7 linked regions of the Oryctolagus cuniculus genome follow. Each later gene encodes a partner of the first gene's protein in a complex. Links are inferred from orthologs where the notes say so. Each region holds a gene or a part of one and is shown in the gene's direction. Other genes may lie near its edges. The genes, in order: MED13, MED24, MED20, MED31, MED16, CDK8 and MED8.

The links.
Region 2: MED13 (region 1) and MED24 share a complex: the UniProt entries of both Homo sapiens proteins name them as parts of the mediator complex. The link is inferred for Oryctolagus cuniculus from reciprocal best matches to the Homo sapiens genes MED13 and MED24.
Region 3: MED13 (region 1) and MED20 share a complex: the UniProt entries of both Homo sapiens proteins name them as parts of the mediator complex. The link is inferred for Oryctolagus cuniculus from reciprocal best matches to the Homo sapiens genes MED13 and MED20.
Region 4: MED13 (region 1) and MED31 share a complex: the UniProt entries of both Homo sapiens proteins name them as parts of the mediator complex. The link is inferred for Oryctolagus cuniculus from reciprocal best matches to the Homo sapiens genes MED13 and MED31.
Region 5: MED13 (region 1) and MED16 share a complex: the UniProt entries of both Homo sapiens proteins name them as parts of the mediator complex. The link is inferred for Oryctolagus cuniculus from reciprocal best matches to the Homo sapiens genes MED13 and MED16.
Region 6: the proteins of MED13 (region 1) and CDK8 are in contact, whole or in part, in a cryo-EM structure (PDB 8TQC), measured with the Homo sapiens proteins. The link is inferred for Oryctolagus cuniculus from reciprocal best matches to the Homo sapiens genes MED13 and CDK8. Residues at the interface, in NP_005112.2 of Homo sapiens: Thr1616, Met1617, Asp1618, Arg1619, Lys1621, Val1622, Gly1623, Ile1624, Pro1625, Thr1626, Asp1627, Gly1628, Asp1629, Ser1630, Val1732, Lys1733, Thr1734, Leu1735, Thr1736, Gly1737, Phe1738; in NP_001251.1 of Homo sapiens: Leu9, Glu12, Arg13, Arg71, Lys74, His75, Pro76, Leu81, Gln82, Lys83, Val84, Tyr133, Asp137, His140, Tyr141, Met330, Gln331, Phe335, Leu336, Leu340, Pro341, Thr342, Ser343, Asp344.
Region 7: MED13 (region 1) and MED8 share a complex: the UniProt entries of both Homo sapiens proteins name them as parts of the mediator complex. The link is inferred for Oryctolagus cuniculus from reciprocal best matches to the Homo sapiens genes MED13 and MED8.

Annotation. Positions count from the first base shown.
Region 1 is NC_091448.1:35,500,617-35,504,116, forward strand, and holds part of MED13 (mediator of RNA polymerase II transcription subunit 13), read left to right. Parts: intron 1-641; coding exon 642-1,098; intron 1,099-2,916; coding exon 2,917-3,136; intron 3,137-3,500. UniProt on the Homo sapiens protein: Component of the Mediator complex, a coactivator involved in the regulated transcription of nearly all RNA polymerase II-dependent genes.
Region 2 is NC_091448.1:22,376,912-22,381,090, forward strand, and holds the start of MED24 (mediator of RNA polymerase II transcription subunit 24), read left to right. Parts: upstream 1-1,379; 5' UTR 1,380-1,963; intron 1,964-1,979; exon of another isoform or gene 1,980-2,053; intron 2,054-2,447; 5' UTR 2,448-2,504; coding exon 2,505-2,634; intron 2,635-2,721; coding exon 2,722-2,804; intron 2,805-4,179. UniProt on the Homo sapiens protein: Component of the Mediator complex, a coactivator involved in the regulated transcription of nearly all RNA polymerase II-dependent genes.
Region 3 is NC_091436.1:127,988,546-127,992,657, forward strand, and holds the start of MED20 (mediator of RNA polymerase II transcription subunit 20), read left to right. Parts: upstream 1-1,312; 5' UTR 1,313-1,452; coding exon 1,453-1,466; intron 1,467-3,851; coding exon 3,852-4,006; intron 4,007-4,112. Other genes in the region: BYSL (bystin), read right to left, coding at 663-930. UniProt on the Homo sapiens protein: Component of the Mediator complex, a coactivator involved in the regulated transcription of nearly all RNA polymerase II-dependent genes.
Region 4 is NC_091448.1:49,926,731-49,930,767, forward strand, and holds the start of MED31 (mediator of RNA polymerase II transcription subunit 31), read left to right. Parts: upstream 1-1,237; 5' UTR 1,238-1,466; coding exon 1,467-1,494; intron 1,495-2,495; coding exon 2,496-2,573; intron 2,574-2,788; coding exon 2,789-2,885; intron 2,886-4,037. UniProt on the Homo sapiens protein: Component of the Mediator complex, a coactivator involved in the regulated transcription of nearly all RNA polymerase II-dependent genes.
Region 5 is NC_091447.1:58,476,258-58,480,297, reverse strand, and holds the start of MED16 (mediator of RNA polymerase II transcription subunit 16), read left to right. Parts: upstream 1-1,240; 5' UTR 1,241-1,397; intron 1,398-2,672; 5' UTR 2,673-2,715; coding exon 2,716-2,848; intron 2,849-3,575; coding exon 3,576-3,683; intron 3,684-4,040. UniProt on the Homo sapiens protein: Component of the Mediator complex, a coactivator involved in the regulated transcription of nearly all RNA polymerase II-dependent genes.
Region 6 is NC_091440.1:96,689,384-96,692,883, forward strand, and holds part of CDK8 (cyclin-dependent kinase 8), read left to right. Parts: intron 1-970; coding exon 971-1,040; intron 1,041-1,780; coding exon 1,781-1,853; intron 1,854-3,500.
Region 7 is NC_091438.1:129,634,736-129,638,748, forward strand, and holds the start of MED8 (mediator of RNA polymerase II transcription subunit 8), read left to right. Parts: upstream 1-1,213; 5' UTR 1,214-1,321; coding exon 1,322-1,327; intron 1,328-2,576; exon of another isoform or gene 2,577-2,595; coding exon 2,596-2,714; intron 2,715-4,013. Other genes in the region: KICSTOR complex protein SZT2, read right to left, coding at 1,102-1,128. UniProt on the Homo sapiens protein: Component of the Mediator complex, a coactivator involved in the regulated transcription of nearly all RNA polymerase II-dependent genes.

The DNA of each region.
Region 1 (3,500 bases):
TAGGATCTAATGTTTTAAGTTATAGAATTCTTGATTTGCTAATAGTTTTAGAAATAAAATAATTTGTAGCTAACCTCTGTAACACCAAGACATAGTTTTCTTGTGTGTGTGTAGCTAAGAAAATGACCAAGTACTTTAGACTTGCTTATAATATCATTGAGCGTCCTTTAGACTTAATCCACAGAGATGCAGAACCAAATTAATTCAGAGGCATTTGGCATTCCAATAATTTGAACCTTATGATAACATTCTACCATTTTACCATTTTGGGTTTTAATTAGCTATTGGTGTAGAAAATATTTTTTCAACTTGTGGTTTAGGAGCCTTTTTAATGATTTGATGGGAATTTGCTACATAATATTTATTGCATTTAATTAGTTGCATCTAGAAAATGTAATTTTATTTTATTTCATGGTAATCATTTATTTAATTTGCATGAAAAAGCTGGTTTACTTTTACAATTCCGTTTTCAATTTCTAGGTGAAAATAAGCTAGTTGATACTAAATTGTTAGCAGGCAGTTTAGGGAGAGTAATTACCAAGAAAGTATAAATTAGATTATTATTTTATTCATAAAGAATTTGAAAAAGAACTAACCAGTGAAATAAAGAATTTAAATACCCTTCCTGTTTTTATCTTTAGGTCCTTATCTTGCTTCGCAGCCACTGGACAGCTCTCTGCTTTCCCAGCCAAATTTAGTTACCCCTCCAAGTCAGTCTTTGATTACACCATCTCAGATGGCAAGTACTGGAAATACTAATACTCCATCAGCCACCCTAGCATCTGCAGCAAGCAGCACTATGACTGTGACTTCAGGGGTTGCACTGCCTACTTCGGTTGCAACAGCTAATTCGACTTTGACCACAACTTCATCTTCTTCATCCTCCAGTTTGAATAGTGGAGCATCATCAAATAAACTACCTTCATTTCCACCCTTTGGCAGTATGAGCAGTAGTGCTACAGGGTCCATGTCTGCACAAGCAAGTGCAGTTCAGAATGGCCAGCTAGGGGGGCAGCAGTCATCAACTCTACAGACAGCTGGGATTTCTGGAGAGTCATCTTCGCTTCCTACTCAGCCACATCCTGATGTGTCTGAAAGGTATCTTTAAAAACACTGATTTTTGCACAAATATAAAAACTATGATTCTTAATTTTTTCTAAATATGAGTTATGAGCATTTTCAGTATCTGCTAAATGGGGTGTAATGTGATATAATATGCATACATTGTGCTTTATGTAATGCTTCCAAGTTTTGTTTTCCTTTTTTTAAAGGTTTATTTATTTGTAAGTCAGAGTTACACAGAGAGAGAAGGAGAGGCAGAGAGAGAGAGAGAGAGAGAGAGAGAGAGAGAGGGAGGTCGTCCATCTGCTGGTTTACTCCCCAACTGGCTACAACGGCCAGAGCTGCGCCAATCCAAAGCTAGGAGCCAGGAACACTTCTGGCTCACCCATGTGGGTGCAGGGGCCCAAGAATTTGGGCCGTCTTCTACTGCTTTCCCAGACCATAGCAGAGAGCTGGATTGGAAGTGGAGGAGCTGGGACTTGAACTGGCCCATATGGGAGGCTGGCACTGGAGGCGGCAGCTTGACCCACTACACCAAAGCCCTGGCCCCTCCAAGTTTTTTTTATAATGACCATAGTGATGACATTTCTCATTCCCTTTTTTTAAAAAGATTGATTTGTTTATTTGAAAGGCAGAGTTAGAAGGGGAGACAGAGCTCCTCTGTCTGCTTGTTCACGCCCCGTATGGCTGCAATGTCCAGGGCTTAGCCACGCTGAAGCCAGGAGCCTGAACTCCATCTTGGTCTTCCTCATGGTAGGAGCCCAAGTACTTGAGTCATCTTTTGCTGCATTTCCAGGCATATCACCAGGAAGCTGGATCAGAAGTAGAGCAACGGACTCAAACCAGTGCTCATATGGGATACTGGCATCACATGTGGCAATTTAACCTTGACGCTACAACACCGGCCCCTCTCAGTCCTTTTATGATGAAAGTATTGAGTGAACTTCCCTTTTAGTTTATAAATTTGGTTAGGCTGAGCATTGTTAAACCTGTCATCTATCCAGGATACAGTTGTTCGCAGAGTTATACTCATATACATCGATAAAAAAGCAGACTATTCCCTATATTAATCCAGCCATCTTAAACATCTAAACAGATTCGAAGTTTAAAAAAAATTAGCCATCAAATAATGTAACTGGTTTACCATTGAAATTACGAAGTATGAAATGTAGTAGAACATTGAATAGATCTGGGAATCTGGTTTTCTTTCTTTCTTTCTTCCTTCCTTTCTTTCTTTCTTCTCTTCCCCCCCCCCTTTTTTTTTTTTTTTTTGAAGATTTATTTGAAAGAGTTAGAGAGAGGGAAAGATAGATCTCCCATCCATTGATTTACTCCCTGGATGGCCATAACGGTCAGGGATGAGCCAGGCTGAAGCTGGGAGCCAGGAGCTTTATCCAGGTCTCCTACATGGGTGGCAGGGGCCTAAGCGGTTGGGCCATCTTCTGCTGTCTTCCCAGGTCACCAGTAGGGAACTGGAGAGGAAGTGCAGCATCTGGGACTCACCTGGCACCCATATAGGATGCTGGCGCTCCAGGTGGTAGCGTTACCTGTAGAACTTGGTTTCTTTCTGATCTTGATTTAGCCAATTTTGTGATTTGGGGCTGCTACTGAGATAGGTCTTAGACAGAGGACCAGTTTTATCCTTTATGCACTAAACTCTCATTTCAGATATACTGCAGTTTTAAGAATTTTATTTCTATTTTCTTCTTATGCTAGTACGTATGTATGTATGTATGGTTCACTGATACTTCCCACCAAAAACAAAAAAAGGGATGGGGGATCAAGAGCCTGCTTTTGAATGCACTCCCAGCAATACAGTACAAGTTTTTGTCTTACTTCTACTTCATATTTTAGCACGATGGATCGAGATAAAGTGGGAATCCCCACAGATGGTGATTCACATGCAATTACCTATCCACCTGCAATTGTTGTTTATATAATCGATCCTTTTACCTATGAAAATAAAGATGAAGGCACTAACTCTTCTAATGTGTGGACTTTGGGACTACTTCGATGCTTCTTGGAAATGGTCCAAACTCTTCCTCCACATATTAAGAGTACTGTTTCTGTACAGGTAAGATTGATAAATATTGTGAGTTAAATATTTGTAAAACAGTTTGCTGTTTGAAAGATACTATTTTTCTGTTTTCAAATTGGTGTTCTGAAAGCCAAGTTCTATTATTGATTTAACTTTAAGTGATATAGATGTTAGCTATGTTGTAATAACATACCTGATGTAAAATATAAAATTCTTGATGATATGATATGTTGTAAAACATGAATTTTACAATCATACCACAATAATAATGAGAAGTAAAAATTGCATATAGTATATAGTATGTTAAATACTGGTCCTGTGTTAACCTTTTAATCCAGTGTTTAAATTCATAAGCCTAAGCAGGTAAACGTAGCATGGACCTGTATAAACTGGAGTTCTA
Region 2 (4,179 bases), about 13 Mb from region 1:
GAGGAGTCTGGGTTCTCCCTCCCTCCTGCATCGGAAGCTCCAGCTACACATATTTGGCAGCTGTTTGTATAAACACTATTCCCCAGTGGTGTCACTTGGGCAGGCACAAAGGGAGGATAATGGAGTGGGGTGAGGGTGTGTACAGGGGAGGGAGATGGGATCTGGCCCTTCTCCAGCCACACTGTTCCCTTTGGAAGAGGAGTCCTCGTTTCCCTGCTTGGCCCTTGCTCCGGATGCCCAGGATCCTGTTATTCTCTGCCCCGACAGAGCCTGAGAGGGCTGCTCATCCAGATTCAGAAGGTGGCTGAGGGATGGCTGTTGGGAGAGGGACGGGACTGGGACTTGTGGACTGGCACATCTGGTTCCTCAGGATACGGGGTTGGGGGCTAAAAGGAGGGGTGGCAGGACACTGGCCGAGGGCCCCCCCATTCCCTCTTGTCTCTGACTATAAATGTCTGGGGTGACCTGTCCTTATGACTGGGCAGGGGTGAGGCTGTATAGGGAGGCTTAGATCTCAGAGCCAGAGGTGGGGGATGTTTGCTTTCTGGCTTCTCACAGGAGGGAGAGAAGATTTAACGCCTAAAGCCCTGGACATTATAATCTACAATGTGATTCTTGGGATAAACAGGATTGCTTTTGGTATTTTATTTTATTTTTTGAAGAACTTATTTGTTTAACAGAAAGGCAGTATGACAAAGAGAGATCTTCCATCTGCTGGTTCACTCCCCAGATAACTGCAACAGCCAGGGCTCCAGGCCAAAGCTACGAGCCAGGAACTCCACCTAGGTCTCCCACGTGGGTGGCAGGGGCCCAAGTACTTCAGCCATCTTCTATTGCCTCCAAGGCACACTGGCAGGGAGCTGGATCAGAAGCAGAGTAGTCAGGATTCAAACCAGGCACTCCAATGTGGAATTCAGGTGTCCCAAAAGGCAGCTTAACCCGCTGCGTCATGCCTGCCCAATAAAACAGGGTTGGGGTGATATGGTGGCACAGTGGGTTAAGCTGTCCACTTGTGATGCTGGCATCCCACAGCAGCGTGCTGTACTGAGTTCTGGCTACTCTGCTTCGGCTCCAGCTTCCTCTTAATGTCCCTGGGATGGCAGCAGCAGACGGGCCCCTGCCACCCACGTGGGGGACCAGGATTGAGTTCCTGGTTCCTGGTTCCTGTCTGCAGCCTGGCCCAGCTCAGGCTGGCCAATTTCTAGCTCTGCACCCAGTTTCTCCTTTTATTAACATCTTGGCATTAGTATGATACATTTGTTAACAACTAATGAATCAACATCAATACATTGTTACTAACTGAAGTCTGCTTTGCTCATATTTCTTTAGTTTTTTGCCTAATGTGTTTTTTTTTTTTTTTTCTCTTTCAGGATCCCATCCTCAACACAATGCCTTTTGTCGTGTCCTCTTAGGCCATGTCGAGCAGTTTCTTGGATATTCCTTGTTTCTTAAACACGCTAACTTCGGTTTCCTCTTTATTTCCTACTGAATGGGCCAGGAGAGTATGTGAGGACGCTCAGATGCGGCTGTGAGGTGATGTGTGTGCCACTAACCGGCCTCAGTGTCGCCTGTGGGATGCAGGTGTGGAAATGAAAAGTCTCACAGCTCCAAGAGCTCAGTAGTGGGGGGGGGGGGGGGGATAAAAGACCAGGGAAGAGAAACGCCACACCCTGCCTACTAACTAGAGGGTAAGGAAAGGGTGTCGGAATAGGATGGAAGGGCCTGGTCGGCAGTGACGTCATTGGGCGACGCCCAGTTGCAAGCAGCTTTTCAAGCCCCCCACACACCCCGTGCCTCTGAGACGCTGTAGTGCCTCAACGCCTGGATATCCTTCTTAAAAGGAGATAAATAATGCGGCCTGACAAGTAGTCCCTTAGCTTCCTTTCCATGGCAAATACGACTTCCGTACAAGGAACTACAACTCCCAGAAGGCACCGTGGCGGGACTTGCCGTATCTCTACTGGTTCGTATTTGTTATCCTCAGCCAATAAGAATTGGGCTCTTTGATAAGTGCCAAAATGGCGCTCCCTAGGGTCTAGAGCTCGACTGTCCGGTAGGTTTAAATTTAGGGAGGTGGAAGATGAAAAGGATATAGGGAATTATAATTTCAGGGTTGGGGAAGATGGTGGAAGTGGGGGTGGGGGAGAAAGCTGAACGTGGGGTGGTAGAGGCCGAGGGACGCCGCCAGGGCTCGGGGAGTAATTGGCCATTGGAACTGGCTTAACCCTTTGCTACCCTCTTTAGTGTTTGTATTACCCGTTTGACACTCTCTTCCTCGTGCCCCAGTCCAAGAAGGGATGGATTAGGAGGGACGGGTCTGACAGGATCTCCACCTTGTCCCTTCCCCTTTTTTATTTCCTGCTCCTCGCTTCAATCGGTTCCCGTCTCCATTCTGTGGAGCTCTGCCCGCGGCTGTTCTCTTTCCCTGAAACTTATCTCCTCTTTAGCTCCATTTCTGCAACCTCAAAGCTGTTCTCTACGGGCCGCCGCCTCAGAGTGAAGGCATGAAGGTGGTCAACCTGAAGCAAGCCATTTTGCAAGCCTGGAAGGAACGATGGAGTGACTACCAGTGGGCAATCAACATGAAGAAATTCTTTCCCAAAGGAGCCACCTGGGACATTCTCAACCTGGCAGGTCTCAAGTGAAGTGGAAGGAAGGGTGGGAGGGATGAGCCCAGGGAAGTCGTAACCACCCAGCCTTACTTTGTTGTTCCTTTTACAGAAGCACTCCTGGAGCAGGCCATGATTGGACCTTCCCCCAATCCGCTCATCCTGTCCTACCTGAAGTATGCCATTAGTTCCCAGGTAAACCACTTCTTCCCCAAGGAATGATTTTGGGGGTGAATGACCTGGAGTGCAGTTGTCAACTTAGTTTTTTTTTTTTTAAAGATTTATTTGTTTATTTGAAAGGCAGAGTTACAGAGAGGAAGAGAGAGGGAGGGAGAGAGAAAGAGAGAGAGGTCTTCCATCCGCTGGTTCACTCCTCAGTGGCTGCAACAGCCAGAGCTGTGCTGATCAGAAGCCAGGAGCCAGGAGCTTCTTCCGGGTCTCCACTTGGGTGCAGGGGTCCAAGGACTTGGGCCGTCTTTTATCGTTTCCTTAGGCTCATTAGTAGGAAGCTGGAGTGGAAGTGGAGCAGCCAGACACAAACCGGTGCCCACATGGGATGCCGGCACTGCATGCAGTGGCTTTACCTGCTATTCCATGGTGCCAGCCCCTGAACTTACACTTTCTACATGAACTGTTTGAACAGATTGCTTCTTTGAGCTCAGTTTTCTTGTAAAAATAAGAATACTTCATATGTTGTGATGGGTATTTCATTTGCTTATTCTGTCAGTGCTTTTAGTACCAGACAGTGCTAGGCTCTGAGGAAAAAGCTGTAAACACGACCTGTTCCTGGTACACAGGAATTTAATGGGTGACATTCATACAGACTTGTAAAGCAGCAGTCACTTGATGGGTTTATGATAAGGGTTAGAACAGAGTACGGGGGCTCCCTGTTGGGTCAGCAGGTTAAGCTGCTGCCTGTTAGCTTGGCATCCCATATCGAGCACAGGTTGAAGTCCTTCCAATAACGTATCTGAGGAAGCAGTGCAAGATGGCTCAAGTCAGGCTGGCGCCGCGGCTCACTAGGCTGATCCTCCGCCTAGCGGCGCCAGCACACCGGGTTCTAGTCCTGGTTGGGGCGCCGGATTCTGTCCCGGTTGCCCCTCTTCCAGGCCAGCTCTCTGCTGTGGCCCAGGAGTGCAGGGGAGGATGGCCCAAGTGCTTGGGCCCTGCACCCCATGAGAGACCAGGAAAAGCACCTGGCTCCTGGCTCCTGCCATCGGATCAGCGCGGTGCGCTGGCCCCAGCGCGCCGGCCACGGCGGCCATTGGAGGGTGAACCAACGGCAAAAGGAAGACCTTTCTCTCTGTCTCTCTCTCTCACTGTCCACTCTGCCTGTCAAAAAAAAAAAAAAAAAAAAAAAAAGGTGGCTCAAGTCACCCAGATGGGAGACCCAGATAGAGTTCCAGGCCCCCTTGTTGTCATCTGAAGAGTGAGCAAGAAGATGGAGGATCTTTCTCCTTCTGCCTCTCCCTCTGTGTTTCAAATGAGTATAATAAGTCTTCTAATTTATTTTTAAAGAATAGAGTATAGGTACTGTGAGAGAACATGGAAGGGACATCTAATCCAGTCT
Region 3 (4,112 bases), on another chromosome or scaffold:
ACTGTAGCCAGAAGAGCAGGGTTCAATTGCGTCAAATACTGCTTTTCTACAAATAAGATAAGCTCTGAGAAGTCGGTTAAACAACTCAGAGGTCAAGGCTTCTCCCCTATGAGAAAACAGTCAACATTTTTCAATCATCTCTCCCTCCACTTGGCCCCTAAACAATACTGCTTTTTCTGTTATGAACATTCGGTTTCAGGTCTCAGCTTCCAGGCTGGGCAACTCTGACCCCTACACGAATGCTATCGTTTCCAGAGAAACGAGACTTTCTTTCCCATGGAATTTACTGTTCTAATTGTCTCTCTCTTGGTTTAGACTGTAAGGTCCCGAGCTATATCTTGTTTATTTCTGCACGCAATCCATCAAAACTCCCAGCATCGTGCAAAGCCGGTAGCGAGCATCCCATATTTACAAAACCGTTGGACAAATGCTAGGAGAACTTGGTGGCCTGAGCCATCACTTCCTATTGGCCTAACTTGCGGGACGCGGCGAAAGGAGCACTAAAAACAGGGAGCGGGCCTGCAGGGTTCGGTCTTCCACCTGCCCTGCTCTCGGTAGAGAGCAACGTGCAACCCGGTTTTGAATCCAAGGTACTCCCCTGCCGGACACCTGTGGGCCGTCCACCCCCCAACCCAACTACTGCCTTCCCCGCGGACGCTCACCCAGCCGCGTGGCGCGCTCCCGAGGCTTGGCGGGCCCGTCCCCAGAGCCGTGCTCGGTTTCCAGCTCCTCCTGTTGCTGCCGTGCTTGCTGCAAAATCCGCCGGCTCAGCCGGGGCCCCACATACTCTTCCTCCTCTTCCCCGGTTCCGCGGCCCCGCCGCTTTTCCCGGGCACTTGACCGCACCGCGTTCCCAGCCAGGATCTGCTCGGCCAGGGGCGCGTGTTTTTCCTGAGCCCCAGCCCCACGGGCCGCTTTGAATTTCGGCATTTTTCTCGATAATGCGGCCCGGCAAACTCACACGTGGGTACGGCGACAGCCCAGGATGTGCGCTCGGCAATGAACGCCCAGGTCTGTGCCGAGAGGCCACGCGCTCACAGCGCCCCTACGCGTTCGGAGGCCAGAAAAGCAGCCAGCACCACTGCACTCCCGCAGGGAACTCCCGAGTCCTGGAGCCGGAGCCCGGAACAAATGCATTGCCTTTGACGTTGACGTCTCTAAATGGTGGCAGCCCGGGCCACGCTTTCCTAGCTTTCTGGATCTAGGACCAGGGTGGCCAACCAAACGGAAACTTCCGGAACTGCAAGCCAGGGGAGGGGCTGGGAATCGGGCCGATGACCTCACTGGAGGCGTCACCCAGAGTCGCTGCTGGTGCGTCTAACCGGCGCTCTGTTTTTACGTACTTCCGGAGCCCCTCCCGCGACCCGAGCCTGCGGTAGTTTTTAGTTCTTGTGGGCTTCGGGAGAGCGCTGTTTCGGCTGTGTGGTCGTGCCGCTTTCCAGGCCTGACGCTATGGGAGTGACCTGGTAGGATCACAAAGGGTTTTATGGGGCGGGACTTGGGTCGTGAAGGTCCCTTGAAACCTGGAGGGTCGGGGACTGAAGTCCGCCGTTCTCCGGGAGCTGAGCAAAATGCCCTCGGGCTGCGTGGATGTGGGCACTCTAAGGGCCGTGAGTCTCGGGCCCTAATGGGCCCCATTGCTCCTGGAAGGAAGCAAGGAAAAGGTTTTATCTCAGGAACCTTATGCATGGGTTGTGTACCCTCTTCTCTTTTTCTTGGTACGTCTTGCTACCCTTGAAATCCTAGTAGTGCAGAAAGTGGGACTTCGAGGTCGGAAACAGGGCTTTTCAGACTAGAACCCACCCGCAGGTAGGGTTAAAGCTGATAGGAGATAGGCAACGAGGCGGTGTTTGTGTGTTCGCCTCCCCCTACCTGTAGCCACCCAATAATCAGCCTGTATCTGGTTCTCATTCGGGTCTACAGGATCAAAATGGAAACTACTGGGAATTAGAAGATCAGGTTTCCAGACACTTTACTTCCTCATGACCTGCCTCCTACTACGTTTATACGGTTGATTCAGTTTCAGTGCACTTAAAAAAAAAAAAGATTTATTTATTTGAAAGGCAGAGTTAAAGAAAGGCAGGGGCAGAGAGAGAGCTTCCATCTGCTGGTTCTCTCCCCAAATGGCTGCAATAGCCGGAGCTGGGCCGATCAGGAGCCTGTAGCTTCTTCCAGGTCTCCCATGGGGGTGCAGGGGCCCAAGCACCTGGGCCATCTTCTACTGCTTTCCCAGGCCATGACAGAGAGCTGGATCGGAAGTGGAGCAGCCGGCTCTCAAATCGGCACCCACATGGGATGCCAGCTCTACAAGCAGCTGCTTTACCCTCCACGCCACAGCACTGGCCCCCAATGGACTTTTAAATCTCTGAACATGTTCTCAAACCCAGATGGAAGAGGATGGGGTGGAGGGGAAGGGTATGAACCCAGGGATCTTGGAGACCTTAGTTCCAAGGTGCTGGGTCTCTGCACCTTTTTTCTTCTTCTTCTTTTTTTTTTTTTTTTTAAGTCTTGGTTGTGAGCATCTCATCAGAGAGGCCTGGAGGCCAGGATATCTGAAGCCAGGAGTTATAGGCTTCTCTTTTTTTTCTCTTTTTTGAAAGATTTGAGAGGTAGAGTTACAGACAGTGAGAGGGAGAGACAGAAAGGTCTTCCATCTGCTCGTTCACTCCCCAGATGGCCCCAATGGCTGGAGCTGCGCCAATCCGAAGCGCTTGGGCCATCTTCTGTTGCTTTCCCAGGCCATAGCAGAGAGCTGGATTGGAAGAGGAGGAGCCAAGACTCGAACCGGCACCCATATGGGATACCGGCACCACAAATGGAGGATTAACCTACTGCACCACAGCACTGGCCCCCTAGGCTTCTCTTTTAAAAATAGTTGGGGGTAGAGGGAACACAATTTCTCCCAGTAGCCAGGGGTTTCTGGGGCTTGCACTCTTGTTTCCCCTACCACAACCCTCCCAAGCCCTGCAGAGTGAGGGTGCTGGTGCGGGATGGAGGTGGAAAAGTTGCAGCACAGGGGTTGGGACTGTGTGTAGCAGATTAAGTTACTGCCTGCAGTGCCGGCATCCCTTATGGGCACTGGTTCAAGTCCTGGCTGCTCCACTTCCAATCCAGCTCTCTGTAATGGCCTGGGAAAGCAGTAGAAGATGGCCCAAGACCTTGGGCCCCTGCACCCACGTGGGAGACCTGATGAAGTTCCTGGCTTTGTTGCCGGCCATTCCTGGGGGCGCCCTTATCAACTTTTCCAAAATCCTAGGACCTCTGTCCCTTGTAGCTTCAGGGATTCTCTGAAAGTACTTCAGAAAGTTCACAGAAAGTATGTATTATGAAAAACTATGCAATGTTTTGGCACCAAAATCTTTCTTTTTCTTTTTTGACAGCCAGAGTGGACAGTGAGAGAGAGAGACAGAGAGAGGGAAAGGTCTTCCTTTGCTGTTGGTTCACCCTCCAATGGCCGCCGCAGCCGGCAGCCGGCGCACCGCGCTGATCCGATGGCAGGAGCCAGGTGCTTCTCCTGGTCTCCCATGCGGGTGCAGGGCCCAAGCACTTGGGCCATCCTCCACTGCACTCCCTGGCCACAGCAGAGAGCTGGCCTGGAAGAGGGGCAACCGGGACAGAATCCAGCTCCCCGACTGGGACTAGAACCCAGTGTGCCGGTGCCACTAGGTGGAGGATTAGCCTAGTGAGCCGCGGCGCTGGCTGGCTGGCGGCTTCTATTTCCGCATCTTTACAACGTGAGGGAGGGGTGGGGTCGTAGCTTCTGGCTTGGCTGAGCCACAGTTCTGTGGATAGAATGGCTAAGTGAGTATGTGTGTGTCTGGGTACTGACACTGTGGTTCTCTCCTTCCCAGTGTGTCCCAGATGCCTGTGGCCGAGGGCAAGAGTGTCCAGCAGACCGTGGAGCTCCTCACCCGAAAATTGGAGATGCTTGGGGCAGAGAAGCAAGGAACGTTTTGTGTGGATTGTGAGACTTATCACACGGCTGCCTCTACCCTTGGAAGCCAAGGTCAGTGAGATGGGTATGTAGGACGGCTGGAATGTGCCTTGGAATTCACGGGCATTAATGAGAGTTCCTTATGCTTTTGTGTATTCCAGAACACATGGCAAGATGT
Region 4 (4,037 bases), about 14 Mb from region 1:
TTTACATGTAGGAGCCCGAGTATGGACTGGAAATGGCAGATGTTCTGCTCCCAGTAGTAGACACAATTGGGCCATCGCTGGCCTGCTGGAAGACCCCTTTGTCCTGCTGGGTAAATCACTGACTGCAAGGCAGGGTCAAAAAGCAACAGACACCCCCCCCCCACACACACACACACACTGTCCAGGGGAGGGCACGGCCTCCCACCCTCCTCTGGAGCCTCTCCCAGGCCTCTCCTCTCCCAGCTGCAGCGCGTCTCCAACTGGGCACCACTGACACGTTAGGCCCCGTGATTCTGTGGTTTTGGTGCTGGGATCCCTGGCCTCTACCCACGACTTGCCAGCAGCACTCCTTGTACCTAACACAAACGTCTTTAAACATCGCCAAGTATCCCCTGGGGGACAAAATCCTCCCCCCCCCCTCCAGGATGAGAACAACTGTTCTGCAGCCCACACGGAAGGCAGAAGGTATTTTAAAAATGCGGTTGCATCATGTCAGTCCTGTGCCGAAAACTATGCAGCGTGTTCCTGTTAGACTAGAACCTGAGTTCCCGTGGTGACTCAAAGGCCCTCTAGAAACTGGTCCTGCCTGTTGCCGTCCCCTCTCTGCCTCTCACACACGAAGCTCCCAGCTCTCCCTTCTTCTCTCGGGGAACGTTGCAAGCTTGCTCCCACACACCCTTCGCACTTCTCTTCCTCCGGCCTAGGGTGCACTCCGCTGAGACCCCCGGGTGGGGGTGGGGCGCTCGGTGTCACCACACAGGTCTCAGCTCCACTGTGGCCTAACCAGCAAGGCCTTCCCCGTCCATCCCTCTATACCACCACTCTCCGCCTCTTTGCCCGTCAGCCCCGCGTGCGGGCTTTGTCACGCGTGGGGAGGCCCAGGGCGCGGCTCGCGCAGGAACCCAGGAACCGCGGCTGGGCTGTTTCTCACACCGACATGTGGGCTGCCTCCAGGAAGCCAAAGGCGACTGGGGGACCCGGCTGGACACAGTAGGCAGCCTCGCCTCCAGCCGCTTTGACGAGGCCCTGAGCACTCGGGAGGGCACGAGGGCGCCGCTTCCTGGAAGGCGAGGTGTCCACACTGGGGTGAGGACGGCTTTCCCCCAAGGGCCGAGGCCATTCTATAGGTGTTGAGGGGACCGCTCAGCACACCTCTACGCTACGTCACGAGGTGAGAAATGACGTCACAGTAGCGACCTGCCTCCTAGGCGGCAATGCCACTACACGCTGACGTGAAACACCTCCAAATACGGCGCTCCCCGGGCCGCAGCGCCCGGCTCAGGAGCCCGAGCGGGCGGAGCCAGCAGCGATGGGCGGAACCGCTGTCCTCCCAGCGCGGCTGGGCCCGCCCCCGTATCCCACAGTGCCCCGGGGCCGGAAGCGGGGTGCTGAGGCTTCCGGAACTTCCCCAGCCAGACTGGGCAGAGTCTCTGCCGAGCTGGTGAGAGTTCGCGTCGTTCCTTGTTATGGCCGCCGCCGTCGCCATGGAGACAGGTGAGTCGCGCTCTGAGCCGTGCGCTCCGCCCGGACCCCTTCTCCTGCCTGCCCGGGGCCTCCTTCAGGCCTAACGGAAGGGGCTTGGAGTGGGACCCGGGAGGCGAGAGGGCTCTTGGAGCATCTGGGAAGGTGCCGGCAGCTTTGCCTTTTTCAGAGTTTGGTGGCTTCGCACATGTTTTCTCCCCGCTTGCTGTTCACTCAGCGACCCCACCTTCGTCCCAGCGTGGGTGAGACTGAGGGACAGCACTGGAATCTTTTCTTTAAAAAAAAAACAAAAACTAGTATAAAGAGAACAGATTGCATAGGTACAGTTCCAGGAGACCCATACTTCCCTCTCTCCTCCTCCCCCCACTCGCGTTCCCTCCCCTACTTTTCATTTTTTTTGTTGCCAAGGCATAAATTTGATACAGTCTATAATAACGGCTTATTTCACCACGAACCGTAATATAGAGCCAGTCAAAAGTAGGAAGACCACCAGGAGCATAAACAGGGGCTGAAAGTGACAGTCGTGTCACCAGACAGCACTTGGGTCTGCTTCCGCGGGAGCTTGCATGAGTTTGGGGCGCCCTGGACCAACTTGCGTTATCCTGCCACTGATGCTGCCATTCGGGGTCTTCCGGCGCTCCGCAGTCTCCTAGCTCGCACTCGGAGCTCCTCACCGCCATCGACAGTAGCTACAGTGTATTAATAAAATACAGGGAGGTAGACTGTCACCCCATACCCGGTCACTCACTGCTGAGATGGCTCCAGTGACCCACCGAGGGAGGTCTCCTGCCGCATCTGTGTTCCCCTTGTCTCTGATGACTTCTCTTCAACGTTAGAGGGGTTTCTAGCTGCCTTAATCAGAGTTCTCCTTTTCTTAGGTTCCTAAGGAATTATGCCTCCCAGAAGTGTAGCTCAGCATTACGCAGGTTTCCTGGCTGCTGTTTCCTTTCGACCCATCGGTGTTGTATTTAGCGACCTTTGTCTTGGATGATTTTTGCTGTCTTCTCTCCTAGATGATGCTGGAAATCGACTTCGGTTTCAGTTAGAGTTGGAATTTGTACAGTGTTTAGCCAACCCAAATTACCTTAATTGTAAGTTGTTCACCTAATTAAATTGAATAGCTATTAATGATTTTTTGACAAGAGTTGCATTTCCTAATAGTATCTACTTTTATATATTCTCAATTGAATAGAATTGCACTTAAAGCAATTCTGTAGCTGTAACTGAGCAAACTAGGACTTGTGGGCTGGTGGTAGTCCAAGCATCCGTCTGACCTAGGTTTTGTTTTTTTTTTTATGCCTTTCAGTTCTTGCTCAAAGAGGTTACTTCAAAGACAAAGCGTTTGTTAATTATCTTAAGTACTTGCTGTACTGGAAAGAACCAGAATATGCCAAGTATCTAAAGTAAGTTTAATTTTTTGTAATCCTCGGTGTATGTATGTTTTACTAAAACCCAAAACGTGGATACGTAAATACTTCTTAGTTTCACACTGGTAAAAATGTATGTTGAATCTGCACGTTCTGCGCGTTCGGTTGTCACTGCCTACCTCTTAATTTGGATTCCTGCAGAAATCACTCACTGTTGGCTCTGTTTTCTGCTCTTTCCTCACTACCTCACCCAAAGCCAATAAAGCAACGCGATTTTCTACCCAGAAGCCGATGTGGTCCCTGGGAACTGTAGCTTAGAACATGCTGTCTGTTCCTTAGACCTGGGGGGCCCTCCCTTCCTGGCAGTGAAGTCTGCGGCCCGGCCGCATCTGGCCCAGTCTTCTTGACCTCCTCTCTACCAGTCTCCCCATTTCTCTGGGTTTCTGGTCTGAAGGACTCTGGTCCTCACATGCAGCAACATAGCCATTGACTGATAATAAAAGATCACACAGAAGTACCTGTGAGGAAGATGTGGAGGATGTCACTGTGTCTTCCAGCAGCGATCTTTGTGCCCAAATGCTTTGCATTCAATAACTAAAAAACACTGCACACTCACAACTGTTTCCGTACACATGCCGGTCCTTCAAAAAGTAAATGGAAAATGGATCCAAAAGACGAGTTTGTATTGGTGCAAAAAACTTTTGGAGTCCATGTGTAAGGGATTTCCAGAAGTTCTTGAAAAATTGTGTAATATGAAATAACCAAGTATAGACTACAAGCTTTTTATATCCAAATAAGCTTTTAATTCAGGTTTTTCCACAAACTTTTTGAACTACGTGTATGTGTGTTTGCCATTCAAGTTGTTCCAGAGACACTTTGACTTGAAGGCCAATTACATTTGCAAGGGGCATATTATGACCAGAAACCTATTCCCTTTCAATGCGGAAGGCTGCACTTACTACTTTGCTTAGTATTAGCCAGGTGGTTGGAAAGCAGTGGTGAAGCTTTTCAAATTTTTTGAAAAATTATTTTATTTGGAAGGCAGACAGAGGGAGAGAAAGAAGTCGCCCATCTGCTGGTTCACTCCCCAAATACCCACAGCAGCCATGGCTGCGCCAGGCCAGAAGCTGGGAATCAGGAACTCAGCTTGCATCTCTCATATGGTGGCAGGGACTCAAATACTTGAGC
Region 5 (4,040 bases), on another chromosome or scaffold:
GTCTGAAAGTTGTATATTTATTATCATTTTACATGAAAGGCACAGTTACACGGGGCGGGGCGGGGGGATCTTCATCTAAGAACAGTGACGGCCAGGGCTGGCCCAGGCTGAAGCCAGGAGCCGGGAGCGCCACCCAGGTCTCCCCCGTGCGTGCAGGGGCCCTGGCACCTCTCCGTCACTGCCGCCTTCCCGGGCCGTTAGCAGGGAGCTGGGCTGGAAGGGGAGCAGCCGGGGTGCCCGGGGTGGCCACTCAGACCTCCAGGGACCGTCCGTGAAGCCCCCTGCCCAGTTCTCAGCCACGGCAGAGGGCCTGCTGGACCCAGGCGTAGCCCAGCAGCTGAGCCCCAGGGTAAAGCTCCTGACCTCGCTCCCTGCTATGCACACCTGGGAGGCGGCAGTGCCCGCTCGAGTGCTGGGGGCCCTGCACCCACGTGGGGAACCCGGGGCTCCTGCTTGGCCCAGCCCCGGAGTGAACCAGCCGATGGGAGATCTGTCCCCCTCTCCCCCTCTCCCCCTCCCCACGGCCCCTGCCTATCAAATAGGTAAGGGAAACAAAGTCACAGCGCTGCTGCGGGCAGAGCTGCGGCGACCGTGGCCCCGCCGGGCCCACCTGTGAGCCGTGGCGCTGCACCGCGGGAGCTCCGTGTCCCGGGGTGCGTCTGCTATGCTGTGGGTTCAGTGCCCTTTGGTCGCGGGCCGCCTTCTCACCTGCTCCGGTGTGTGCCAGAGGGCAGGAGCAGGGCGTGGGCTGCAGAGCGGACGGCGTAGACCCCCGGGACCCCGCGCTCACCGCCCAGTCACGCACACCCTGCGTGGGCATTCACGCGCGACGGCTGCGGCTCCACGCGGACCGGGCCGGCTCCTCCTGCACGCTGTTCGTGGAAAGGGGTAGCAAAATATGGAACGCTTCACGAATTTGCGTGTCATCCTTGCGCAGGGGCCATGCTAATCTTCTCTGTATCGTTCCAATTTTAGTATATGTGCTGCCGAAGCGAGCACGAACGACCGCTATCCTGGACAAGTATTTAAGGTGCCGAGAAATCTTGTCTTTACGATAAGGGTGAATTTTCTTGCGACAACTTTGTGGGGCACTCGTGCTCTTTACTGTGTTAGGACAGTATATGTTCTAATGAGGTGTAGTTTTTAATCGACGTTAGGGAAATATTTCTGTTTTATATGAGACACACGAACGGAGGCTGCCGGGAACCTAATAGGACTATGCAAATAAGCCCGGAAGCTGGGCGGAGCCGGAGCCGCCGCCGTCCCATGAGCCTGCGGGAAGCGGCGGCGCGGCTTGGGCGACTCGTTGGTCCGGGAAGATGGCGGCGCCGGAGCCGCGGCGTTAGGGCGAGTGCGGGCCGCAGCCGTGCCCTCGGCTCCACGCTCGGGCCAGCCAGGTGAGCGCGGGGCTCGTGGGAGGGCCCGGCGGCGGCGGCGGCGGCCAGCCGGCCTCGGGACGACGTCCGCGACCCCGGGGACAGCGGCGCGGGGAAGGCAGGGGCGGGGCCTCCGGGGTCAGGGGGCGGGCCCGAGCGCAAAGGCTTCTGGGCGCGCGGCCCGGCGCGACGTGGGGGAGCCCGGGCGCTGCGCGGAAATTGAGGCGAAGTCCGCGGCCGAAGCGGGGCGGCGGGACCGGGGGCGGAGCCTGAGGCGAGCTGGGGGCGGGGCTGCCTGGCTCGGGGGCGGGGCTGCCTGGCTCGGGGGCGGGGCCCGCAGACGGGGGGGGGGTCCCTGGGGTTGGGCCTGAGACCCTGGGGCTGGATGTCGGGACGGTCGCGGCGTGGGCTCGCGGGGTGCCGGGGCGGAGCTGAGGGGTCGGGGTGGGCGTGGGCTCGCGGGGTGCCTGGGGCGGAGCTGAGGGGTCGGGGTGGGCGTGGGCTCGCGGGGTGCCCGGGGCGGAGCTGAGGGGTCGGGGTGGGCGTGGGCTCGCGGGGTGCCTGGGGCGGAGCTGGGGGGTCGGGGTGGGGTGGGCGTGGGCTCGCGGGGTGCCTGGGGCGGAGCTGGGGGGTCGGGGTGGGGTGGGCTCGCGGGGTGCCTGGGGCGGAGCTGGGGGGTTGGGGTGGGCGTGGGCTCGCGGGGTGCCTGGGGCGGAGCTGGGGGGTCGGGGTGGGGTGGGCGTGGGCTCGCGGGGTGCCTGGGGCGGAGCTGGGGGGTCGGGGTGGGGTGGGCTCGCGGGGTGCCGGGGCGTGGGCTCGCGGGGTGCCGGGGCGGAGCTGAGGGGTCGGGGTGGGGTGGGCTCGCGGGTGCCTGGGGCGGAGCTGGGGGGTCGGGGTGGGGTGGGCTCGCGGGTGCCTGGGGCGGAGCTGGGGGGTCGGGGTGGGGTGGGCTAGGGTGGGCGTGGGCTCCCGGGGTGCCTGGGGCGGAGGGGTGGGCCCACGTCGATGGAGCCCCTTCTCTTTGGAGCCGCCAGGGGCGCCGGCGCTCGCCGCTGTGGTCACTCTGGGCCCTCCGCAGGCCCGGGCCCAGCCTGGGGGACCGCGCGGCCCTGGGCGCCCCCTGCCGCCCCATCCTCGCTCCCCGGACCAAGCACATCTGCGGGGTCCTGTGGAGACCTGGGGGTGCTGGCCCGCGCCCCAGCCGCCCGGCCCCTCCTGGAGTCCCCGTGTGGACGCCAGCGTCGCGGAGGACGGGCGTGGCCTCGTGTGTTTAAGCCCCCCTATGCCCCCCCCCAGCACTGGGCCGTGTCAGTGACGAGCCCCCCGGGCCTGCGGCGGGATGGACCTGGCCTACGTCTGTGAGTGGGAGAAATGGCCCAAGACCACGCACTGCCCCTCGGTGCCCCTGGCCTGCGCCTGGTCCTGCCGCAACCTCATCGCCTTCACCACAGACGTGCGGAACGAGGACCAGGGTGCGCCCCCCACTGCCCTCTCTCCCCGCATGTCCCCCACCTGTCCCCGCCCCCCGTGTCCCCGTCCTGCTCCCACCTGGCCCCGCCCCCCATGACCCCACCTGGCCCCGCCCCCCGTGTCCCCGCCCGGCCCCCACCTGTCCCCGCCCCCCGTGTCCCCGCCCGGCCCCCACCTGTCCCCGCCCCCGTGTCCCCGCCCGGCCCCCACCTGGCCCCGCCCCCCGTGTCCCCGTCCTGCCCCACCTGGCCCCGCCCCCCGTGTCCCCGTCCTGCCCCACCTGGCCCCGCCCCCCGTGTCCCCCATCCTGCCCCACCTGGCCCCGCCCCCCGTGTCCCCCATCCTGCCCCACCTGGCCCCGCCCCCCGTGTCCCCGCCCGGCTCCGCCCCTCACCTCCTCTGGAACTTGGGGCGTCCAGAGCCCCGGCCTCCCCGACGCTGGGGTCCGGCTCCACGTGGGGCTGGGGTCTTGCTGGCCCAGGCCCCGTCCCGGCCCCTGCTCTGCGTCAGTGGCCGTGCCGTCTGCCCTGCTGCCGGGTGACGCGTGCTCGGGGACCGCGGGCGCTGCTGCCCGGGCGTCGGCCCCTCTCACTCCATCTTCCCATCGCCCGGTCACTGGCCGCTCTGCCCGCCAGGGGGCAGCCTGTCCCTCACCATCGCCCTGGGGGTCCTCCACGGAGCCGCCTGGGGGTCACGGGACCCCTCGGGACTGTGTCCTTGTGCCCCCAGACCTGACCCGCACCATCCACATCCTGGACACGGAGCACCCGTGGGACGTGCACTCCATCAGCTCCGGCCACACCGAGGCCATCACCTGCCTGGAGTGGGACCAGTCAGGTGAGGGCGGGGGCGGGGCCTGGCTGCCCGAGGGGCGGAGTTACGGAGGGAGGGGGAGAGGGAGGGAGGGAGGGGGAGAGGGAGACAGGGAGGGGGGGGGTGGAGAGCGAGGGGGGGTGGTCTCCCGTCCCTGATCCACTCTGGCCAGGGCCAGACCAGTCCAGTCCAGAGCCGGGAGCCAGGCGCTTCCCCGGGGCCCCCACAGGGTGGCGCCCTCCCCAGCCTCTGTCCCAGAGCCCCCGCCGGGCCTCTGCTGCCCGCGCCAGAGCCCAGAGCCGGCGCTGCGGCGGGCGCCGGTCCCGCCTGGCCGGGTCCCCGGGCCTCTGCCCTGGCCCCCACGTCCCGCGACGTTGTCCC
Region 6 (3,500 bases), on another chromosome or scaffold:
GCAGAAAGAGCACGGAAGGAGAATGGAGGACACAGCTTTGTGTCACTGGGAAGGATAATCTCAAGATTTCTACTTTGAGGAATTGACAAAATAGAGAAATCGGGGCAAGGAAAAAGTAAGGAGGAAATTCCATTTAGGAATTTAAGTAGACATTTAGTTTACATTATGTGATGTCTATGGAGGACAGTTAGCAAATATTTTTACCAGTGACTTCAAAGAAAAGCAAACCATGAAAGGCCAATTAAAAGTGAAAGGTGCTTGTCACAGTGCTGCTTGCCTAGTGGGCTTTCATTAAAAGTCTTTGGTATTGATGGAGAAAGCAGGTGATCTGACATGAGTTGTTGGAGCAACTCTTAAGGCCAGCAAACCTGGCTGAAACATTTTGTTCTTAAAATTTATTTAACAACTTTTGTTTTACTTAACACCCCAAAAATTATTTAGTAGCTAGGAGTTTTTATTTAGTGTCGGGTAATGTTAATAAAAAAAACCAAGATACCAGCCGATTATTAATATTACTATTTCCATCCTACACCCAGTTCTACTGCAAACAGTTATTACTGGCTATATTGATTGCTGATGTAAATAAGGAAATTGCTGATTTGCCAAGAAGTGTGGTGGAAAAGGAAAAAATAAATTATTATACTAATAGAAATAGAACTTTTTAATAATAAATAGAAATACTTATAATATTCCTTCCTAGTTATAGTAATTGAGGCAACTTAACAATAAATCATATGGAAAGCAAACAATTTAAAAATTTAAAAGATGAACAGATATAAAAGCTATTTGAGCGGATGAGGAATTGTATTTACAGTTCAAGATGTTTATTGTAGCTGAACATTTATTTGAACTCTGAGCTTCCAGAGAGGCTAAAAGAACTGGAAATATAGTGAAAATGGAGGTAATCTATATTGAAATTCTAAAGAATAGGAACCTAGGCAACATAAAAATTTATCAATGTGTTTCACAGATAAAGATTGGGAAGATATAAAAAAGATGCCCGAACATTCAACATTAATGAAAGATTTCAGAAGAAATACGTAAGTTGGAAAGAAAATAGACATTTGTTGGTTTTTGCTTCTCCAGAATACTCAGTTTAAGATAGAACACTCAACATACTCAACATAACATTACTTCAATAAGTAACTTAATTTATTTACTCTAGTAAATATTTTTCATAGCAGTCTTCATAAGATGATTAAAAATTATATGAAAAAATGACTAATAGAGCCAATTTAGATACAGAGGGAGAAGTCAGTTCTTTTCTTTCCGATATTTACTACTTTCTGGAAGCTAGATATTAGTGAAAAATATCACAGCTAAAGAAGTAAGGAACTAAAATAAACCTTAGCAGTTACTCACCTAGGTTGTATAGTCATTTTAAGCAAGTTTTAATACAGAAGAATTATTATTTCAGTTATTTACAAAGCAAGGCCAATGGTTGGGACAGCTTGGTTTGTAAACCTACAGCAAAGGTATTTTAAAGTTACTGGTAAGGCTGAGTTAAACTTTTGACCCAGATGTTGTCTAAAATAATTAAGATGTGATTCATGTGAAAACAGCTACTCAGTATATATTATTCATGGAATTATCTTGCATTTAATCATTGGCATCCATTCAAAAAGTGACTAGTATGGGTATTGAATGAGTTATAAAATTGATTTAATGCTTTTTTTATGCTGATCAGTTATGATCAAAGTAATTCTCTTTGGAAGGACTTGAGCCAATGTAAAATTAACCTCACATCTAATACAGATATTTCATAGTATTTCTCTTTCAGGTATACCAACTGCAGCCTTATCAAGTATATGGAAAAGCATAAAGTTAAACCAGATAGTAAAGCATTCCACTTGGTAAGCTTTAAATAACAATGCTAATGAAATTCATTTTTTCCCCAATTGACTACCACCACCTGAGACTTTTTTGGGTCAGTTTATATGGTTGATTAGTACTCCTGGAGTACTTTAATCATAAATGCAAAGATCTTGTGTTAGTAAAGACATCAAAAAAAATTTGCTTTTCCAAACCTGTATTATGACCTGACAGACTAATGTTTTGTCATATTAGATTTTCTAAAGGTAGTAATTATGACAATTCTGTGAAGAGCACTAAAAGTTGTATTTAGTGTTTTTCATCTGTTATTTTTAAATTTCAAAAATCTCAGGGATGTATAAAAAAAAACAGTTCCACCTTCTGAAATAATTTCTGCAAACTATTTGGTATTTCAACTCTTGAAAGAATGTTTACAGAATTTTTAACTCCGTGATACTTTTATAAACCTGTGCATTAGATATGCCTCAGGGATGATATGTATTACATGCTTTTTCTGGAAGAGTGTGAGAGATGCAGTATTTCTCTATGTGTAATGGAAAGGTAGTTTGACCTAGAATGTGTATGAATCTGAACACTAGCAAAGTAATTTGTGATGAGATCATATTCAGTGATTGACAAATTCAGTTTGTTTGCAGTAAAATTTTGTCACCAAGATGTTTTTCACTTTTATGTTTTTAAACTTTTATAACATAATGAGGGGAATTTGTAGAAGCAAGTTATATTTTGCTTGGCTTGAAATTTTTTTAATCCTTTTTCCTGTTTTTTTTTTGTTTTGTTTTGTTTTGTTTTGTTTTTTGTAGGGGCATGTGGGAGGGGGCAGACAGTGTAGAGATTTCAAGAGAGAACTCCTATCCATTAATTCACTCCCCCAAATGCCTGCAACAGCCGGGGACTGGGCTGGGCTGGAGCCAGGAGCTGGAAACTCAACGTAGTCTCCCATGTGGGTGGCAGAGACCCAGTTACTGGAACCCTTGCTGCTGCTTCCTAGGGCCTGCATTAGCTGGCAACTAAGGTCAGGGTCTGGAGGCAGGCATTGAACCTAGGTGTTCTGATATGGGGTGTGGGAATCTGAATGCTAGGCAAAATGCCTGCCCCTCAAGTATTTTTAAATGGAAATTCCTTTATCTTGAAAACATGAAATGTTTCCTTTATTGCAACCAGGTCGCTTGGCAAGCATTTCTTGTATTTCTGCTTCTGTTTTATTGTCTTCCTCTACTTCTGATTTTAGAACTTATTTTATCATGTCATATTTTATATCATATATTTCATACCTTATTAGTAATTTGAAAAGCAATGCTTAAACTGTCATATTACCACACATTGTACTATTCAAATCATTTATTCTGATGTACTTAAGACAAGACAATTGGAAGGCTAAGTTAGATCCTTCAAAATCAGACTTTTTAATTCTAACAAAATGATGATAGTGGTGGTAGACTAAAAGTCATGACATAGAGGAATTTCTCTGACTTTTCCCTAATTCCCTACTACTCATTAAAGTCTGAAATGACTCAAAACCATCACCACTGAAAATCTAGAGGTATACCTTATTGCTTTAACTGTTTTGCTTATTAATCCTGGCATGACCTATCTTAACTGTTGATAATCTTGAATGGTCCCATCTGAAACTCTATTGCAATCCATTAAAATTATTGGGTACTTTAAAT
Region 7 (4,013 bases), on another chromosome or scaffold:
AAAGGTCTTCCTTCCGTTGGTTCACCCCCCAAATGCCTGCTACGGCCGGCGCTGCACCAATCGGAAGCCAGGAGCCAGGTGCTTTCTCCTGGTCTCCCAGGCGGGTGCAGGGCCCAAGCACTTGGGCCATCCTCCACTGCCTTCCCGAGCCACAGCAGAGAGCTGGACTGGAAGAGGAGCAACCGGGACAGAATCCAGCGCCCCAACTGGGACTAGAACCTGGAGTGCAAGCGCCGCAGGCGGAGGACTCGCCTAGTGAGCCGCGGCGCCGGCCTATTTGCATTCTTACACACATTCCTCACTGTTCCCATCTGTTGGTATGTTCTCCAACAGTGCTGGGCATCTCTACCCAAATCTGGGATTTTATGCTCAGATTTTCTAACTCCAAAAATCTGCTACTCTCAGGCGTATGTACAGCACTTGACCTATCTTACTTTTCAGTTTTCTTTTCTGAAAATGAGAATGGATATTGTGCAAACGTGAATGACACAATGTATGTAAAGTTGCTTGCATGGTCCTTGGCATCTGACAGAGAGAGCTTAAGCCTTTTCTGGCTTCACACACGTGATTCTCACAACAGACTAACAACAAAGAAACAGAATCCAGGAAGTTAAGACTTGCCCCAGGCTTCAGAGAGAGCTAAATAGCAGCGCTAAAATCCGAACTGGGTCTCACTCCGAGCCAAGCCCCCCCCCCCCCCCAATAAAACCAAAGCTGCTTTCCCCATCATGAGTGCTAAAACTAAATTAACTCGTGCTGTTTACTGCACGCCCGTGTCTGAAGACACGCACCGGCTGCTGCCGTCCAGCGCACTGAAACCGCGACAGGAACCAAATCACAGGGTTTATTAACACCACTGTCACTAGGTCAAGTCGGCGACGCGGAAGAGATTTCAGTAAGCACAACAGAGCGAGCGAAGCATTTCTCCTCCAGCCTCCGGAGGAAAGAACGGACTGCGGGGATGCGGGGCTGCAAGGGTCCCTGCCGACGCTACGCGGCCCGGCCGTCGGCCGGCCAGGAGGCCGAGGTCGCGCCTGCCCGCACCGCCCGCTCCTCCCGCTCGGGTCTCAGGGCCCAGCTCTGCGCCCGCCCGCCCCTCACCTCAGGCTCCGGGCGCTCCGAGGCCATCACACAGCCTTCCCGCGCCGGCCCGGGCCAGTGAGGCAGATCCACTGTGACCCCTGACCTGGCTACCTCAGTACCGGGCCGGAACCGGAAGTCGGTGGGCGGGCCAAGCCCCGATTTCCTTGATTGGTGGACAAAACCCTCAGAAACTGGGAAACCGGAAGAGGAAGTGGTTGCGGCTGCCACGGCTGCCGCAATGCAGGTGAGAAGCGGGGTGGGCCTAGTGGCAGCTAGCTGTCTTTGGGTAACGCAGCGAGAGTGGGCTGGCTGCGGAGAGTTAGGAGTTGGACCGAAGAGGAGAGGGCGGAGGCAAGAGGACGCGGGGCCAGGGCAGAGGGGAGACGAGGCCAAGTGGAGAAGCGGCGCGGATGCTACGTGGGGGCGGAGTCCGCTGACAGGGGAGAGACTAGCAAAGTCGGGAGGGCGGAGGCAGCCGCCGCTTGTTTGGGGCTGGGAAAGCATCAGGATGTAGTTTGCGAAAGCCGAGATACAATCCAAGGGAGACGGCCCGAGAGAGACATGAATTGGCTCAAGCCTCAGCCTAGGCTGTTGGATGCAGACGTAACGGCGAATCTGCAATCGGAGAGAAGCCCGAAGGGTGAAGGAATTGTGGGCCGAGCTGGCCAGAAGCTAAGTTGTTATCAACTGAAACCTTGGGTGAAACCCAAGATGATGCTCCTGTCAGGCGCAGTGTGGGGTTGGCATCATTTTTCCCAGTCTGTGCCTGAGAGTTATTAAGACGGAGGAAATGAAGTAAAACGGAAGATACCCCCCCACACCGTGGGAAGGGAATGCCTGCAGACCCCCACTACTTGACATTGCTTGTCATGTGAGCTGGGTGGGTGGTTTTGCTTTTCACTTGTCGCTTTGCTTCTTGGATGGGGCAGTGTTTCAGTAAGTCCTTCTGGGTCAGCTGAGCTTGTGAAAGAGGCACAGGAATATTGGCACAGAAATAAAGGAGAAAGTTGAAACATCACCCACTAAGCACGAATGAGGAGCGAGGGGCAGGGGCGTGCAGAACTAGGGTTCAGAGAAAGCTTCATGTCCAGGCAGATTTCGCAGGGGCTGTGCTGTTGACAAGAACAGGGCAGATTCTAGGACGAAGGAAGCTAGGGCACACGTGCCACAGAAATGTGCATAGGATGATGAATCCCAGGCATTATGTCTGGCAGGAGTTTCTCAACAAGGGAGAGTAGGGCACGTGCAATACAGAGGAAAAGCAGGCCTGGATTTGGAGGTGTGAGAGCGAGAATCAGTTGGTAGGAGGACTTAAGGTCAGGTGAAAGGTCTAAGGGTTGGTGCTGTCTGTAACCCAAATACCAAAGATAGAAAATAACCTGGCTGTCATTCCAGTGAGATCCGGTGTTAGCCAACTGCGGTTGGCATACTCTCTCCGACGCTTTTCAGCCTTCTTCTAAAGGTGTCATGCTCATATCTCTCTGGGTAACCAGCCCATCTCTGTTGGTGCAGAGGGAGGAGAAGCAGTTGGAGGCGTCATTAGATGCACTGCTGAGTCAAGTGGCTGATCTGAAGAACTCACTGGGAAGTTTCATTTACAAGCTGGAGAACGAGTATGACAGGCTAACCTGGTAAGGGTTGCCAGGGCAAACTGGGGAGGGCTCCTGACGAGTAGTTCATCTCTGATGATGTAACCATTTATCAGTTTGCAGATGTCGGGTAATTTGGAAAGAGCTTGGTTTCCCAACATTTAGTAAGTGAAGTTTGGCTGAGGGCCTCCGTGGCAAGGAAGTAGAGAGCGGCCCAGTTTCCCAAGCCACGTTCTTTCTTTCTTTCTTTTTTTTTTTTAATTTTATTTTTATTTATTTGAAAGGTAGAGATATAGACAGAGAGAGACAGAAAGGTCTTCCTTCCGTTGCTTCACTCCCCAAACAGCCACTACAGCCGGCGCTGCGCTGATCCGAAGCTAGGAGCCAGGTGCTTCTCCTGGTCTCCCTTGCGGGTGCAGGGGCCCAAGCACTTGGGCCATCCTCCACTGCCCTCCTGGGCCACAGCAGAGAGCTGGACCGGAAGAGGAGCAACCGGGACTAGAACCTGGTGCCCATATGGGATGCTGGCACCGCAGGTGGAGGATTAACCAAGTGAGCCAAGGCACCGGCCCAGCCACGTTCTTTCTAGCTTTTGATTCTTTTTTTTTTTTTTTTTTTGACAGGCAGAGTGGATAGTGAGAGAGAGAGACAGAGAGAAAGGTCTTCCTTTTGCCGTTGGTTCACCCTCCAGTGGCTGCCACGGCTGGTGCGCTGCGGCCGGCGCACCACGCTGATCCGATGGCAGGAGCCAGCTGCTTCTCCTGGTCTCCCATGGGGTGCAGGGCCCAAGCACTTGGGCCATCCTCCACTGCACTCCCTGGCCACAGCAGAGAGTTAGCCTGGAAGAGGGGCAACCGGGACAGAATCCGGTGCCCCGACCGGGATAGAACCCGGTGTGCCAGCACCGCTAGGTGGAGGATTAGCCTAGTGAGCCGTGGCGCTGGCCGCTTTTGATTCTTACCCTTTTCATCTCTGGTCAGGAGTTCTCTCTCAGTGGGTCTTCCCACTATATCTCAGTCCATGCTGGATCTCTTGCCACTAATGTGGCTGTCTTTTAGATCCAGCCTACTGCTGAAGTATGGCTCCTGTTTCCCGGCAGAAAGGAGGCTTTCACCCAGTTTCTGATTTTTTTTGTCATAGAATAGCCATGGTTCCTGTTTTCCAGTGTTTCTCACCCCATTCAAACAATGAACTGCCTTTTTCTGCCTCCGTCAGGAGCTGAAAGCGTGTCCCTCTTTCCTAACCCCGCATTCCTGTTCCAGGTCTGGGTCCTGCCGAGGCTCGTGATGGGGATGAGTCTTTTGGGGGTCAGTCTCAGTTTTCCTAATCTGAGGACTTGTC